4 linked regions of the Saccharomyces cerevisiae S288C genome follow. The gene in region 1 interacts genetically with each later gene. Each region holds a gene or a part of one and is shown in the gene's direction. Other genes may lie near its edges.

Evidence for each region.
Region 2: of RHO3 (region 1) and SLG1, a mutation in one rescues a mutant of the other (synthetic rescue), as found in Saccharomyces cerevisiae (2 studies listed by BioGRID, with this or other methods).
Region 3: of RHO3 (region 1) and BOI2, extra expression of one rescues a mutant of the other (dosage rescue), as found in Saccharomyces cerevisiae (3 studies listed by BioGRID, with this or other methods).
Region 4: of RHO3 (region 1) and SRO9, extra expression of one rescues a mutant of the other (dosage rescue), as found in Saccharomyces cerevisiae (one study listed by BioGRID).

What each region holds. Positions count from the first base shown.
Region 1 is NC_001141.2:138,187-140,987, forward strand, and holds RHO3 (Rho family GTPase RHO3), read left to right. Parts: upstream 1-1,565; coding exon 1,566-2,261; downstream 2,262-2,801. Other genes in the region: pheromone-regulated protein PRM5, read right to left, coding at 2,427-2,801. UniProt on the Saccharomyces cerevisiae protein: Plays an important role in cell growth. Required to keep the uninucleated state. Modulates morphogenesis during bud growth via directing organization of the actin cytoskeleton and the position of the secretory machinery for exocytosis.
Region 2 is NC_001147.6:340,709-344,046, reverse strand, and holds SLG1 (Slg1p), read left to right. Parts: upstream 1-1,632; coding exon 1,633-2,769; downstream 2,770-3,338. Other genes in the region: YOR008C-A (uncharacterized protein), read left to right, coding at 966-1,190. UniProt on the Saccharomyces cerevisiae protein: Plays a role during G1 to regulate entering or exiting the cell cycle. Involved in stress responses. Has a role in cell wall integrity signaling. Activates ROM1 or ROM2 catalyzed guanine nucleotide exchange toward RHO1.
Region 3 is NC_001137.3:390,021-395,335, reverse strand, and holds BOI2 (Boi2p), read left to right. Parts: upstream 1-1,623; coding exon 1,624-4,746; downstream 4,747-5,315. Other genes in the region: SPR6 (Spr6p), read left to right, coding at 469-1,044; TMN3 (Tmn3p), read left to right, coding at 5,284-5,315. UniProt on the Saccharomyces cerevisiae protein: Protein involved in bud formation. Functions redundantly with BOI1 to promote the fusion of secretory vesicles with the plasma membrane at sites of polarized growth. Acts as an abscission inhibitor during cytokinesis in response to chromatin bridges.
Region 4 is NC_001135.5:56,864-60,269, reverse strand, and holds SRO9 (Sro9p), read left to right. Parts: upstream 1-1,591; coding exon 1,592-2,896; downstream 2,897-3,406. Other genes in the region: GFD2 (Gfd2p), read right to left, coding at 1-1,244. UniProt on the Saccharomyces cerevisiae protein: May overlap in function with tropomyosin and may be involved in organization of actin filaments. Acts as a multicopy suppressor of RHO3 mutation. RNA-binding protein which may modulate mRNA translation.

The sequences.
Region 1 (2,801 bases):
AGAAATAATCTCAACCAATATAATATGCAAGAAAATAACGAAGTAAGGAACAAGCACAATGGTACGCCCGGTCTTGAAAAAGTTTAAAACAGTACTCGACCCTAGGCGCTAGGGTGGGTGACGCATTTTAACTTTGCAACAGAATGCCATATGCGGTGTTAACCTCACAAGATCGGCTCTACTATCTGCAAGCTGCGGCAAATACCAGAGAAAATTCCATTCCCGTCGACAAAATTTAACCGACCCCCCCCCCCCCCAATTTACGTTTATCAGCTAATCCAAATGTGGAAGGGCAACATTCTCGACGACTCCTTTTTCCGTAATTTAAGTTTGCCCAGGCAAAATCTTATACTTGTTTTCGTAAGAGAAAGATGCGCAGATCCTTTAAGGTTACCTTCAAGCAAATCCAGAAGCACAAATGGCAGGGGAGAAAAGACATGAAGCAGGAGTAGTCAACCGCAAAAACCCCCGCGGGCTTGTTGTTCTGCACATTTTTGATGTGTTTGTTCCTAAGACAAAGTCCTAACTTAGGGTAGTAAGTGACTATATTCTGCACGCTCTTAAAGCAGCCACCTCGTTTAATTTTGCATGCTTATATAAGCTTATAAACGAAGTACCTGAGGACCTGCATCGGCCGGCCCATGTGAAAAGGAAGTATTTACTTTTTCTTCTTCTTTACTATGGAAATAGCTGGAATCCGACTATGCATATGCGTAAGAAAAGAAAATGAAGGAGTTTTCACAGGAAAGCACACTTGCATACTGGGCACAAGTGAGGAGAGGGGCCTGTAATGCTTCTGTGTTTAAAAGACTCCGAAATTAGTCAACGCAGATTTGCAGATGCACGCAAGAATACATAATCAATCACAGTAAGCACATCTCCCCAAGGAAAGAGTAAATGCCTTCGAGCCAGCATTGTGGTCATGCGAGATGTCTAAGAAAAATACTTCGATAAGCACGAGGAAATGTAATATGTCTATCTACCTTATTTTTTTTACAATAAACATATAATAAATCCCTTATCTGGTCACGTGAATTAAACTTCGGGTGTGTTGTAAGAATGGAAGGAGTAAGCGAAACTCAAATTGAGGCCACTTACCACTTCCGGTCGAGCCCGGCCCAGAACCAGTCGTCGGCCAACTTTTTTCTTGGAACAGCGTTACCGCACCTACGCGAGAAATAGTAGATTATAGATAAGAAATACAAGGAGAGGGGTGTGGATGAGCTTTTTTACAAAATAGTGTAAGGCGTCCGGGAAACCCCAAGAACGTTTTTTGACATCCACTAACAGGATTACCCGTCATAGATATACTGGTGCCATTACCCGTTAATGGCATCTTGTATATTTCTTTTATCTTTCTTAACATTCCTGAAAATTGGTAAACAGTAAAAAGAAAAGAAAAAGAAAGAAAAAACATGTATTATTTTGAATTTACTGGAAAATAGGCAACCATTGATTTTCGTTTTTTTATCGTTCTCATCTCTAGCTCTGGTCAGCATTTTTTACTTTATAACAACAAGTTTTTCATTAAAATCCATAGTAGCACAAGGTAAAGGGAAACAAACATGTCATTTCTATGTGGGTCAGCTTCAACGTCAAATAAACCGATCGAAAGAAAGATCGTTATTTTGGGCGACGGTGCCTGTGGTAAAACTTCGTTGCTGAATGTTTTCACCAGAGGTTATTTTCCCGAAGTTTATGAGCCTACTGTTTTTGAAAACTATATCCATGATATTTTCGTTGACAGTAAACATATCACGCTATCGTTGTGGGATACTGCGGGCCAAGAGGAATTTGACAGGTTACGATCCTTGTCTTATTCAGATACGCAATGTATAATGTTATGTTTCAGTATTGATTCACGCGATTCTTTAGAAAATGTCCAAAATAAATGGGTGGGTGAAATCACTGATCATTGTGAAGGCGTCAAGTTAGTCTTAGTTGCACTAAAGTGTGACTTAAGAAACAATGAAAATGAATCTAACGCAATCACACCGAACAATATCCAACAGGATAACAGCGTTTCTAACGACAACGGAAATAACATAAATAGCACCTCAAACGGCAAAAACCTGATAAGTTATGAAGAAGGTCTAGCTATGGCTAAAAAGATCGGTGCGCTACGTTATTTGGAATGTAGCGCTAAGCTGAATAAAGGTGTCAACGAAGCTTTCACAGAAGCCGCAAGAGTTGCTTTAACCGCGGGCCCAGTAGCAACCGAAGTGAAAAGTGACAGTGGATCCAGCTGTACCATTATGTAATATAATAAGACACGGACGCACACACAAAAGAATAGAACCCAAAAAGAGAGACTAAACAAATAATATAATAAGTTATAGAAGTTAATAATACTCCTACTATTTTATATTTTTTATGTAATTACTACCACTGCTTAAAAAAAATATTGCAAAATATCATAAAAGTTTTTACTCATCCTGTTCTTTCCCCTCCAGCATGTGCTCGAGATAAGTCGAAGGTGTAGGTTTTCTTTTGGACTGTACGACCAACAAATTACCCTTACTATGGTTACGATTTACGCTACCATCACTTTCTGGTGAATTAAGCAGCTTTCGACTTGGTGAAGATGCAATTTTTGCGGGTTTCCTTATGTCTTCACCCACCTCCTTTTCATTACCGTTATCGAGCGACGATGCGGATGATGAAGAGATTGTAGACACCAGAGAATTTGTAGATACATTATCACTTGTCATAATCACAGGTTTCTGTAATAATCTAGGGCTTTCTTGGTAAAGTTTAGATAGCCTTGTTTTGTATAAGATATCACCTGTTGGTGAAATGAA
Region 2 (3,338 bases), on another chromosome or scaffold:
GGTTGTTACGAGATTTTTACTGATAATTCGCGCGCAGCGTCGCCTCTCCGCGAGTTTCAGTGTAAGCTATTGTTGAAAAGTACTTCGTTTGCCTTTTTAAGTTGCCTTTGGTTGCCATTGTTGTATCTTCAGGGTTTTCTTCGGATCACATCAGCTGTGAGAGTACGGTTAAGTTTGGAAGTCACAACTCGATTATGCCAGTTCGTAAGTGAGCACTAGATGACCTTGCTTTCCCCGTACGAGCCGGTTACGGTAGCAACTTTTGTTTTCCTTGCGCGGAGTGTATGCCTATTCTGATCTTTAAATTTCCTGAAGTGTCTGTCGTGCGCCGTAAACGAATTATTACACACACACGAATCTGGGAAACCGTGAACCCCATACATTGTCTTTTTTTTTTCACAGTCCCTTATCAGTACCGTTTGGCTAACAAAAGCATAAAATATTGTTCGTTCAGATGACCCCTTCAGTACACCGCGTTTACAGTTTCAAAGTTCCTTTTAGAATAGCACCCTGTTCGCCGGCGGATAATTTGCACGCCGTATGAAGGAAGAACATATAAAAACGCAAAATATGAGGCATAAACAATCACAATATCCTCACCTTAGAAGTTAGCCGTAGCGGTTTTCTTGCGCGTGCTTGTTTCTTTTCTTAGTTCTAAGCTTCAGCAAACCCATCCACAATCTTTCTTCAAGAACTTTATCGTGTCTACTTCATAACAACCTGCTAAACAGATTGTGAAATCGTTCCTGCTCAAGCAAGTAGTTTATGATAAATCGTCTTGTAATAGCTCGGCAAAACAACATCATATATGAAAGTGTTTCAAGTTTTTTGCCTAGTAGCAGACTGGAAATTCCACCACCTCTCTTCCAGACTTCGGTTTACATAAGAACTTAATGGTGTGTAATTTTTTTACATACTTCTGGAAGCAGATATCATCGGCCCCCAAAGTCGCCTTCTGCAAAATAATGTGGAGATCTTATCTTGTTTTTCTCTTCTTTATGACACCAAGGATACAAACATATTGTCCTGTACCGGTACTAAGGTCAATGGCAGTATTAAATATTATCTCTCCGCTTATAATTTTTGTCAGTCCTATTAAAAAGCAAGACAGTTTACACAGCAGCGCTTGTTACGCAAATTTGACGTTAGTGGAAAAGCTGCAACTTTGGCATTCTATGTCAAACGATTAGTAATATAGTTGACTACTTTCGTAGAATTCCTTCCTCAAGAAAAATTTTCTCCGCCTTTCCTCTCTGAAGATGGAAATAACGCTGCATGGGGAAGAAAATAATGTAATTTTCGAAGCGAAAGCGAGAGAAACGGAGGGGAAAAATAAAAGTGTTTGGCGTATCATAGCCTCATTTGGAAGAATTTAACGCAGTGTAGTTTTCTTGGACGATACAGTAAACTCGACCAGGCACTAACATTACAGAAAATCTCGTATTGATATTGTTATTGCTTAAAGGGTAATCAAGGTAAACAAGAAAGAAGCTCCTCGTTGTCCGTAAATTTTTTAATAAGGAGAGAGAAAAAGAGAGATAACCAAGAGGAGAAAAAGGAATCTGCATCACATTTATTCAGGATAGTACGTTGGCTGATTTAGTACTCAGGATAAAAAATTCTATTTAAATAATGAGACCGAACAAAACAAGTCTGCTTCTGGCGTTATTATCCATTTTATCGCAAGCGAACGCCTATGAATACGTGAATTGTTTTAGCTCACTACCCTCTGACTTTTCAAAGGCCGATTCATATAACTGGCAGTCGAGTTCACACTGTAACAGTGAGTGTAGCGCAAAAGGTGCAAGCTACTTTGCCCTTTATAATCATTCAGAATGTTATTGTGGTGATACTAATCCATCTGGTTCGGAATCTACTTCCTCTTCATGTAATACGTATTGCTTTGGTTACAGCAGTGAGATGTGTGGTGGTGAAGATGCCTATTCTGTGTACCAACTTGACTCTGACACAAATAGCAATAGCATAAGCAGCTCAGATTCAAGTACGGAGTCTACTTCTGCGTCGTCTTCCACAACTTCTTCAACAACGTCCTCCACAACATCAACTACATCATCGACTACATCATCAACTACATCATCAATGGCGTCTTCCTCTACAGTACAGAATTCCCCCGAGTCAACTCAAGCAGCTGCCTCTATTTCAACGTCACAGAGTTCGAGCACTGTAACGTCAGAAAGCTCGCTAACTTCGGATACTTTGGCAACGAGCAGTACTAGCTCTCAATCACAGGACGCCACTTCGATAATCTATTCCACTACTTTTCACACTGAGGGCGGTTCCACAATTTTTGTCACGAACACCATCACGGCAAGTGCACAGAATTCAGGATCGGCCACAGGTACAGCTGGATCTGACTCTACGAGTGGAAGTAAAACTCATAAAAAGAAAGCCAATGTAGGGGCAATTGTAGGCGGCGTTGTAGGTGGTGTAGTGGGAGCCGTAGCCATTGCTCTTTGTATCTTGTTGATTGTCAGACACATTAATATGAAGCGGGAACAAGACAGGATGGAAAAGGAATACCAAGAGGCGATAAAACCAGTTGAGTACCCTGATAAACTATACGCCTCTTCATTTTCATCTAATCACGGGCCCTCTTCAGGTAGCTTCGAGGAGGAGCACACCAAAGGGCAAACTGATATTAACCCTTTCGACGACTCAAGGAGAATAAGTAACGGAACATTCATAAATGGCGGACCAGGAGGGAAAAACAACGTTTTAACAGTGGTCAATCCAGACGAAGCTGATTGAAGAAACCCAAAAAAAATTATTATATTCTTAAACTATTGCCAAGCAAGTCTTGTTCCTTCCCATTAATTTTTTCTTTTTCCGATTTCATTTTGCCAAATCATCTCCATTTTCACATTATGATGATCCTCTAAAAATTCATACATTTCGAATTTGAGAGCTGGAGAGCTGGAAGTAACGAGGAACATTAAATAGGAACAACAAAATTAGATTAGTTATTTTTTTTTCTACTCATTAATTTTTTTATGATATATTTGAATACCAACCTTAACTTAGTTACATAGATTTAACAAACATTAAACATGTTAATTCTTTGAAATGAATACCACCTAATAAAACTATACATTTTCAAAATAACAAATTGTTATGAAACTAATAGCTAATTATCTTCTAGTGACAATAACCACTTTACTAGAAATTATTAAAAAAATACCGCGTTGAAAGACGATATAAAGTAGGAGATTAATAAATTTATATTCATATTTTCTTCAATCTAATGAAATTGAAGCGCAAGGATTGATTATGTGATAGGATGCGTGAGTAGTAATGCATGAAAAAGGAGGAAGACGTGA
Region 3 (5,315 bases), on another chromosome or scaffold:
GAGTGTTCTCTTTATTAAAGTACGTTTTACAGGCATACTCAAAAGAAGATTCTATGGAGTAGCCGGGTTTTCATCAGGAGATGAGAGTTCTTTAACCCCAGCACAATCGTAAATTTTTACCTTTTTTTTTTTTGCTTCCTGCTCATTGATACTTTTTCTGATTAAACAAAGCACTCCGAGGAATTTGGACCATCTACACAAAAATGGCTATAAATGAAGGAAAAAGGACAAAAGAAAAAGAGGCACTAATCAAGGCAGAGTATGTATTTAATCCTCCCCTCAATATTAATGTGTAGTGGGTACATAAACAATTAAGGGGACCAAGCATATAACCAGAGCTAAGGTATTACAAAGAAAAGAAAAAAAAAAATTAAGGTTACCAGGTACAACATAAATAAAATTCAAGGAATTACTTTTTGTCGTGCAGCTACCATTTTACTTTGAGTTGTATTTTGTTCAAACTTGTATATGGCTGTTTCTAATATATGGCAATCGTACTCTTCCTCCAATTTACATTGGATTTATCCTCTGTATACCAATAACTGTTCACAAAATGTAAAGTCATCATTTACAGCAGAAATATTATTGAAAAGAAGATGTAATGATATTCAAGATATACTTAATGACAGGATGATTGAATTGTTGCTACAGGGCGCGTGTGACCCAAATAAGCAGCAGAATTACCTTCAGGGGATGAGTCCAAGTAGGAAGAAGAAAACCCACGTTAAGAAATTTTTGAAAAAGCAAAAAAAATCAAGGAAACCAATCACTCTGGAGCATGGTTGCTTGTCAGGACCCGTGACTCTACGTTTCGGAAATTTTGCAGGAATCAGAGATTTGAGAGGTACCAGGTGCCCGCTCCACGGCATAAAACATGGTGTCCATCCAAAACCCGGGGAGAGGTGTGCATGTCAGCAAGCTACCCTCTTTCCAAGTCCACTAGCTCGGTTTAGTTGTGACCAGTCTGCTGTACTTGGTTGCGCTGCCTCCTCCACACGGGTCTATGACAGTATAGCCGATGAGTTTTCATCCCTATATTTTTAAACACAGGAGAAACAATTCCATAAATAAACTTTGTAAGATAACTAAATTATAGGTCCCTTTTCCATGTAGCTTCTCATCGCAAGATGCATAGGGTAGTAAACAAATATTTCGCTAAAAAGGTGATTCTCTAGTCACGTGGTGCCTTTTTTTCCCATCGTTCTAGATCGATGCGGTATGAACGAAGAAGGAGACCTTCTTTTTTTTTTTTAAAAAAAAACAAAACTTATCACAGCCGCTATTCAAAATGCTCAGATTGATGAGGACAAATTCGTCAAGAAAGTAAGGTCTCCCTATTTAGAAGCGTTGAAAAAAGCTGGTTTTAATATTTAGTGTTAGACTAGCCATATTTACTCTTTCCTTTTAAGCGATAGTTAGCCCCACGATAAAACTTAGCAGTTTTTAAAGACAACAGATATTAAAGTTGCTTTTAACACTATTTGCGTAATTCCCTTCTGCTTACACTTTTTTTTAGAGTGGTCAAAAAGACTGTAACTGCTTTTTCAGTTTTAACTTTTCATTTTTAGCCACATATTTATTGAATCATACCAACTTCTCCGCAAAAAATTTGAACATATAAAGATGAGTAATGACAGGGAAGTACCCACACTCTCGCAGCTCAACACAACTGTCAGCAGAGATAAAGACGTATCGGACACTTTGTCACCGGATTTTGACAGCAAAGGAAGTGCAACCGGGCGTGACGGTGGCAATTTCCCAATGTATATTGCCATTAATGAGTATTTTAAGCGAATGGAAGATGAACTAGATATGAAGCCCGGTGACAAGATCAAAGTAATAACTGATGACGAAGAATACAAGGATGGCTGGTATTTTGGTCGAAATCTGAGAACCAATGAGGAAGGTTTATATCCGGTGGTCTTTACTCAAAAGATAACAGTGGAGAAGGCTCCGACATTGATGAGAGCCAAGTCTACCAAAAGGATATATAGTCCATTAACCAATGAAGATCCTCTTCTTTCCAGCACTTTTATCAGTGAAAACGATTCAAACAGTGAACTGCCAACCCCGCAACCAATTGAAACCGCCGCCTCTATTTCGAGAACTGCCAATGGAAAGATCGAAAGAAACTTGTCTTTAAAGAATACAATGAGTGACATAGACAATGCACTACTGGAGTTTAAAGACGACTCTATAGGTCCACCAGATCGTTTCATCAATTCGGGCAGAGACGAGGAACATAGCATTACGCATGAAACAATTCTATCAGCCACTGATGGACTGGATGTAGTCGAATCTAACAGTAAGCCAACAACGAGTAGTTCTACTGGGTTCCTGAACGGAGATTTGGAAAATCAAGCTACTTTAATTAATGGAATTGATACTACTAAATTGAACCCTGTAGAAGCAGAGTTTTGGTCACCCGAAGAAATAACAGCTTATTTTATTATGGAAGGATACGATGTCCAATCTGCCTCTAGATTCCAGAAGCACAAAATATCGGGTAAAATTTTGTTAGAATTAGAGCTTGTTCATTTAAAAGAGTTGGACATAAATTCTTTTGGGACAAGATTTGAGATTTTCAAAGAAATAGAAAAAATCAAAGAGGCTATTAGAACTAATGGCCGCTCCCTGAATAGAGCTAGTAAGACCAATAACGCTAACATTTATAACCAATTGATGCCTCCCGCAAACGTTGACCAGAGAGCTTCCTACAGAGGCCATGTTAGAAAGACTTCACAGTCGTTAGAGGACCTTCCGTCACAACAGAATTTTATCCCCACTCCCAGAAATACTAGGAACTCCTCAGCTTCCAAGCACCGGCCTAAATCTTTAGTTTTTGATTCACAAGAGGCTAATGCTAATATAGCTCCAGATGTTCAAATTCCTCAGGTGGTAGAGGAAATGGCAGGTAATGAAAATTTGTTTGTTTCTCCGAGGAGAGCCCCCAAACCCCCATCTTACCCTAGTCCAGCACAACCTCCAAAATCGCCCCTATTGAATAACACAAGGACGTCACCTTCTCCTGCTCAACTTTATTCATGGCAATCACCTACTTTATCTTTCTCAGGGCCTAAAAGAACTTCTTATATCGATCAATATTCTTCATCAGATTCTAATTTCAATTCCCGTTCCGCACTCCCAAAGAACAACCAAGGCGGTGGGAAGGCGTTGTCACCTATTCCATCCCCCACCCGTAATTCTGTTAGAAATGAAGATAGTGAAGGCAAGCTAACATCGTCTTCGAAGAGGAATTCTGTCCCTTATTATGGATACGCTCCTGAATCTTCTTCGGATAGAAAATCCTCTTGTTCCAGCCATGAGGAAGAGCAGTTTCAAGAAACAATGAACACATTCGAAAGACCCACGTCCAGTATATACGCTGATGGATCTACCATTGCATCCATAAGTAATGACAAATTGGCACATGAGAAGGAGGGGAAGAAAAAACCAACGAGACACTCGTCTTCATTATCTTCTAAATCAAAAAGCGATTCCAGGAGGAACTCGTCTTTAAAGAGAAGCAGCAGTGCATCGCGAACTAGTTCATTCAAAAAAAGTTCCTTCATGCTAAGTCCCTTTAGGCAACAATTTACTGATAATGCTGCTCGCTCTTCAAGTCCTGAAGAGAATCCCATAACCTCAATGCCGTCAGAAAAAAACAGCTCACCGATAGTTGATAAAAAGTCTTCCAAAAAGAGTAGATCTAAAAGAAGATCAGTTAGCGCAAAGGAAGCTGAAATCTTTACCGAAACTGTGAAAGATGATAAAAATAAGAGGTCTGCGAGTGAGGCTATTAAAGGTGAAACGCTCAAGGGCAAAAGCTTGCGTCAAATGACCGCTAGACCTGTAGCCAAGAAAAAGCAAACTTCTGCATTTATAGAAGGTTTAAGGAGTATTAGTGTTAAAGAGGCAATGAAGGATGCTGACTTTTCTGGTTGGATGAGCAAGAAAGGCAGCGGTGCCATGAGTACTTGGAAGACGAGATTTTTCACATTGCATGGTACTAGATTGTCATACTTCAGCTCCACTACGGACACGAGAGAAAGAGGTCTTATCGACATTACTGCTCATCGCGTTGTGCCTGCTAAGGAAGATGATAAACTAGTTTCATTATATGCAGCCAGTACAGGTAAAGGACGGTATTGTTTCAAACTATTACCTCCGCAACCAGGATCAAAGAAAGGTTTGACATTTACACAACCTCGCACGCACTATTTTGCAGTAGATAATAAAGAAGAGATGAGAGGTTGGATGGCTGCACTAATTAAAACCACCATTGATATCGACACATCAGTGCCAATTATCAGTTCCTATACAACACCTACGGTTTCCTTGAGCAAAGCGCAAGAGATGTTAGCAGAAGCGAGAGAAGAGACCAAGCTAAGGGAACAGCAAATGCTAGAGAACGAGGAAGATGAGGACCAGTTTTTATGGGATCAACAGCAGCTTCAACAGCAGCAACATGACAATAATCAAGGGCAAGCTGATCGCACAATATCAGCGTCAACCCAACGAACTTCCGACGAGGATAATACTATATCTACTCCGAATTTGTCCTCTGCTAACAATACAACCATTGGCTCAAATGGATTTTCCAGTCCGTTCTTACTAGCTTCCGGATTGTTATCGCCTGGAGTGGCTCGCAATAGTAGTATGCGTGGAACAGAGAAAAAGGGTAAATTCTCAACGGAAGAGGATTACTTCGGGGATAATTCAAAACATAAAACCGACAAAATATAATTTTAAAGCTATTGAAAAAGATGCGCCTCAAATTTGATGCATAAACTCATTAAGCTATTGTTCTCATGGGCAAAAAAGAATGGAGTTATTTGAAAATGAAAGGATGCCGATGATCCTTTAAATGTTATTCTATATAGTTTTACTTGCGTGAGGTTAGGGATTGGGGTTTGTAACCATATATAATTTACAAGAAAGCTAAACAAAAGATGCCGTTAATCTGTTTAGTGACTTCTGTTTCAAGGCTATTAAAATTTTAGGACCCTTCTAAGAGGTCTCTAATTTGTCGAAATCGCATTCGCGAAAATGGAAAATATATTTCAATTTTTTTTTTTTTTGTTTTACTTTTTTCCACTCTAAGATCTACATTCCAAAGCACCTCGTTCGTTTGCTTCGATGAACAAAGCAACGTATTATTTTTCAAAATTGCATAGTAGTATATCTACGCTTTTTCTTCACTAGACTGCTTCCTCTCCGTTTGAATTTCTTGCATCAGGTACTGAAGCACTAATATAAAGACGTGAACCGAAACGAGAAAAAATGAGAGTAAGACCAAAGAGGTCGGTCATAAC
Region 4 (3,406 bases), on another chromosome or scaffold:
AGCGTATGGTCCAGATGGCCTTCATACCCTCTGCCAGGGAATTTGACACCAATAGTCTCCAGCCACTTAAGATCCCCGCTCACGTGATGACCAACAAATGCCCTTGACCATGTCTTGTCTTCTTCGGTCACCGGGACCAAGTAATAGTTTATTAGTGATTGAATGAAATGCACGCACTCTTTCAAGCTCAAAACATAGCTTTCTCCCAATAAGTAGCAATCCTTGTAGTCACAGACCCATTTTTGGTTTCTAAGTTCCAGGGACTCCTCGATAATTAGGTGGTAATTCTTTGTAATTGGAACCATTGACGGCACCATATTTTCCCTGGGGTCATAAATTGAAATCCCAATTTCGGTGATTACGTTCTGGTTTGTTTCGAAAGCCTCTATATCAAGACAAAAGCATATTGCTCTCTGAGAGGCCATCAGCCTGATGCATTTCTCCAGATAAGCAAATTCATTCGAGCGTGAATGTGCTTCCACCATGGGCCAGAACGTCTTCCTCACGCTGTTTTTCTCGTCAGCCAGTAGTTTCTGTTCTGTCTCTAGGAGCTTGATGGTACCATTCATTCCTAACATTTTCTTCTGAATGGCTTCGAACCAAGCGGTGTCGCTCATTCCTTTGGGCTGCGGACAGATACAGTTGGCTCGGTCCTCTTTGGTCAATGGAGACAGCCGCTGTGATCTTTTGGACCTGGGTGGTACGATCGTGTCGCTTAATCTTTTCAAAAACCGGCGTTCTTCCACGAGTTTTTCCAGTTTTGCATGCACATCACCATGTACCATATGCCATTCACTGTCCACCTGCGCCAGTTTGGCTTCCAATTGCGCCCTGGATTGTCCATAGGAGGCATCAAACTTCTGCCTCATCTCCGCCACATATGCATCGATCATGGGCTTCCTTAGTTGGTCCAATTCCTTAGAAAACGCGGTCTTTCTCAACTGTACATAGTAATCTATCTGGTCCAGCCAATTGCACTTAGCACGGTCCCAGGGCGTATTCAATTGGGTCCTGGCATCCAGAAACGCCTCCACACAGCCCGCGATCTTGCCGCTTCCTGTTCGGTCCTTCACTAATCCTCTGACAGAGAGCGTCCCATTACTTAGTTTTGTTGCCAAAGCACCGGTATTACCGCTTCTGGAACGATAACGGGGGCCTGCGCCGTTATTATTCCTCCTCTCCCAATGGACGCTTTTATCGCTACCGTTATTACTGTTATCTCTCACCATTTTTTGAACCTGCATGTGGATCTGGACTCTCGAGCAAGACCCAAGTTCTCATTGCCTCCTTTCCTTCTTCCCTTCTTATATGTTGTCTTGTTGAACCTCAAAACACTAGCGGATAATACGGATTTTGAGGGATGCTCATCGCAAATTTTTCAGAAATGGTGCACGGATGTACCCACGCAATGAAAAATTTTTTTCACTTCTGGTAGGTCAAGAACAAAGAAAGAAAAGTACAAGTGTAAACATTTCTTAACATCTTTTTCGGTTTTATGAAGATCTTTTGGGATCCTAGATCGGTAATAGAACATCAGGATTACTCTGGACCTGCTAACGTGTTTCATCTTCTTTTCACTTCTCTGCCCACGATGTCTGCTGAAACCGCCGCCGCAAACACTGCTACTGCCCCAGTCCCAGAAGTGCAAGAACAAGAGAGCTCCAAGAGCAAGCAAGTCAACTTGACGCCGGCACCATTGCCCACATCTTCCCCATGGAAACTTGCTCCTACTGAGATCCCTGTTTCTACTATCTCAATAGAAGACTTGGATGCCACAAGAAAGAAGAAGAACAGAACACCCACTCCGAAATCATCGACTGCTACCAAGTGGGTTCCCATCAAGGCCTCCATTACCGTCTCTGGCACCAAAAGATCCGGTTCCAAGAATGGTGCAAGTAATGGCAACAGCAACAAGAGCAAAAACAACAAAACTGCAGCATCGTCGACATCGTCGAGTAATGCTAACAGGAAAAAGAAGCATCACCAACATAATGCTAAGAAGCAACAACAAATGAAGAAAGATGGCTTTGAATCGGCAGTAGGTGAGGAAGATTCAAAAGACGCTACCTCTCAAGAAAATGGTCAATCTACACAACAGCAACAACCACCTCACCACCGTAATCATCACCACAGTCATCACCATAACAGCAATGGTCCTCAAAGGAGAAAGTTCCACAACAGTAATAACGCCGGTATGCCTCAGAACCAAGGCTTCCCACCACAGTTTAAACCTTACCAAGGACGCAACGCTCGTAATAACAACAACAACCGCTCTAAATACCACAACCACTTCCATCACAACCAACAACATCCTCAACAACCTATGGTCAAATTACAGCAACAGTTTTATCCAGTCCAACCAGTGTTAATGGCCATCAACAACATTGCTAGACAAATTGAATACTATTTCAGCGAAGAAAACTTGACCGTCGACAATTACTTAAGGTCCAAACTCTCCAAGGATGGTTTTGCTCCATTGTCTTTAATCTCTAAGTTTTACAGAGTTGTTAACATGTCCTTCGGAGGTGACACTAACCTGATTTTAGCCGCATTGAGAGAAATTGTCGCTAACGAAGCCGCTACCGTCAATGTTGCAGAAGGTACTTTGGCCGCCAAGGAAGGTGATAACGTTACCGGTGAAGCCAAAGAACCATCTCCATTGGATAAGTACTTCGTTCGTTCCAAGAGCTGGTCAAACTGGTTACCAGAAACTTTTGAAACTGAAATTAATATTGAAAAAGAACTGGTCGGCGATGCATTGGACCAATTCATGATATCCCTACCACCTGTTCCTCAACAAGAAGAGGAATCATCCACTGAACTCGCTTCTCAAGAACAAGAAACCAAAGAAGACTCTGCGCCGGTTGCTGCCGGTGAATCCGAGTCTTCCTTATAAAGGCCTCTCACACTTGCAAAATAAAAAATGGATTCGTTCATTGCATTTTACACAAAAAACCATAAAAAATTGAAAAACCTAATAATTAAAAAAATTAAAAGTTAATCATCCTCCAGCAAAGCTGTTTTTTTTTTGTTTTTTTTTTTTTTTTTGTTTTTTTATCCATTTTTTTCATTTGTTCCATCAGTTTAATACGAAAGAGAAAATAAAAATAAAAACTTTGAACAATTTTCATGTTTTGAATTCATTGTACATTATCATCATAAGCAATAAGATACAAATATTTATGTTTTTTTTTTTTTGTTTTTTTTTTTTTTTAAGATATAAAAATACTAGCCTCTTCTCACTTCGTTTTCTCTCTGTCTAAGTGGCTACCATCATGAGATATGATATTCTTTCTTCTCCCTGCGCAATTCTTAAACCACCTGCTTTTTTTATTCAATTTTTTGCTAATTTAATAATTGGGAAGAAGATATGAAAAATGCCTATTTTACTCTAAGCAATTCATAT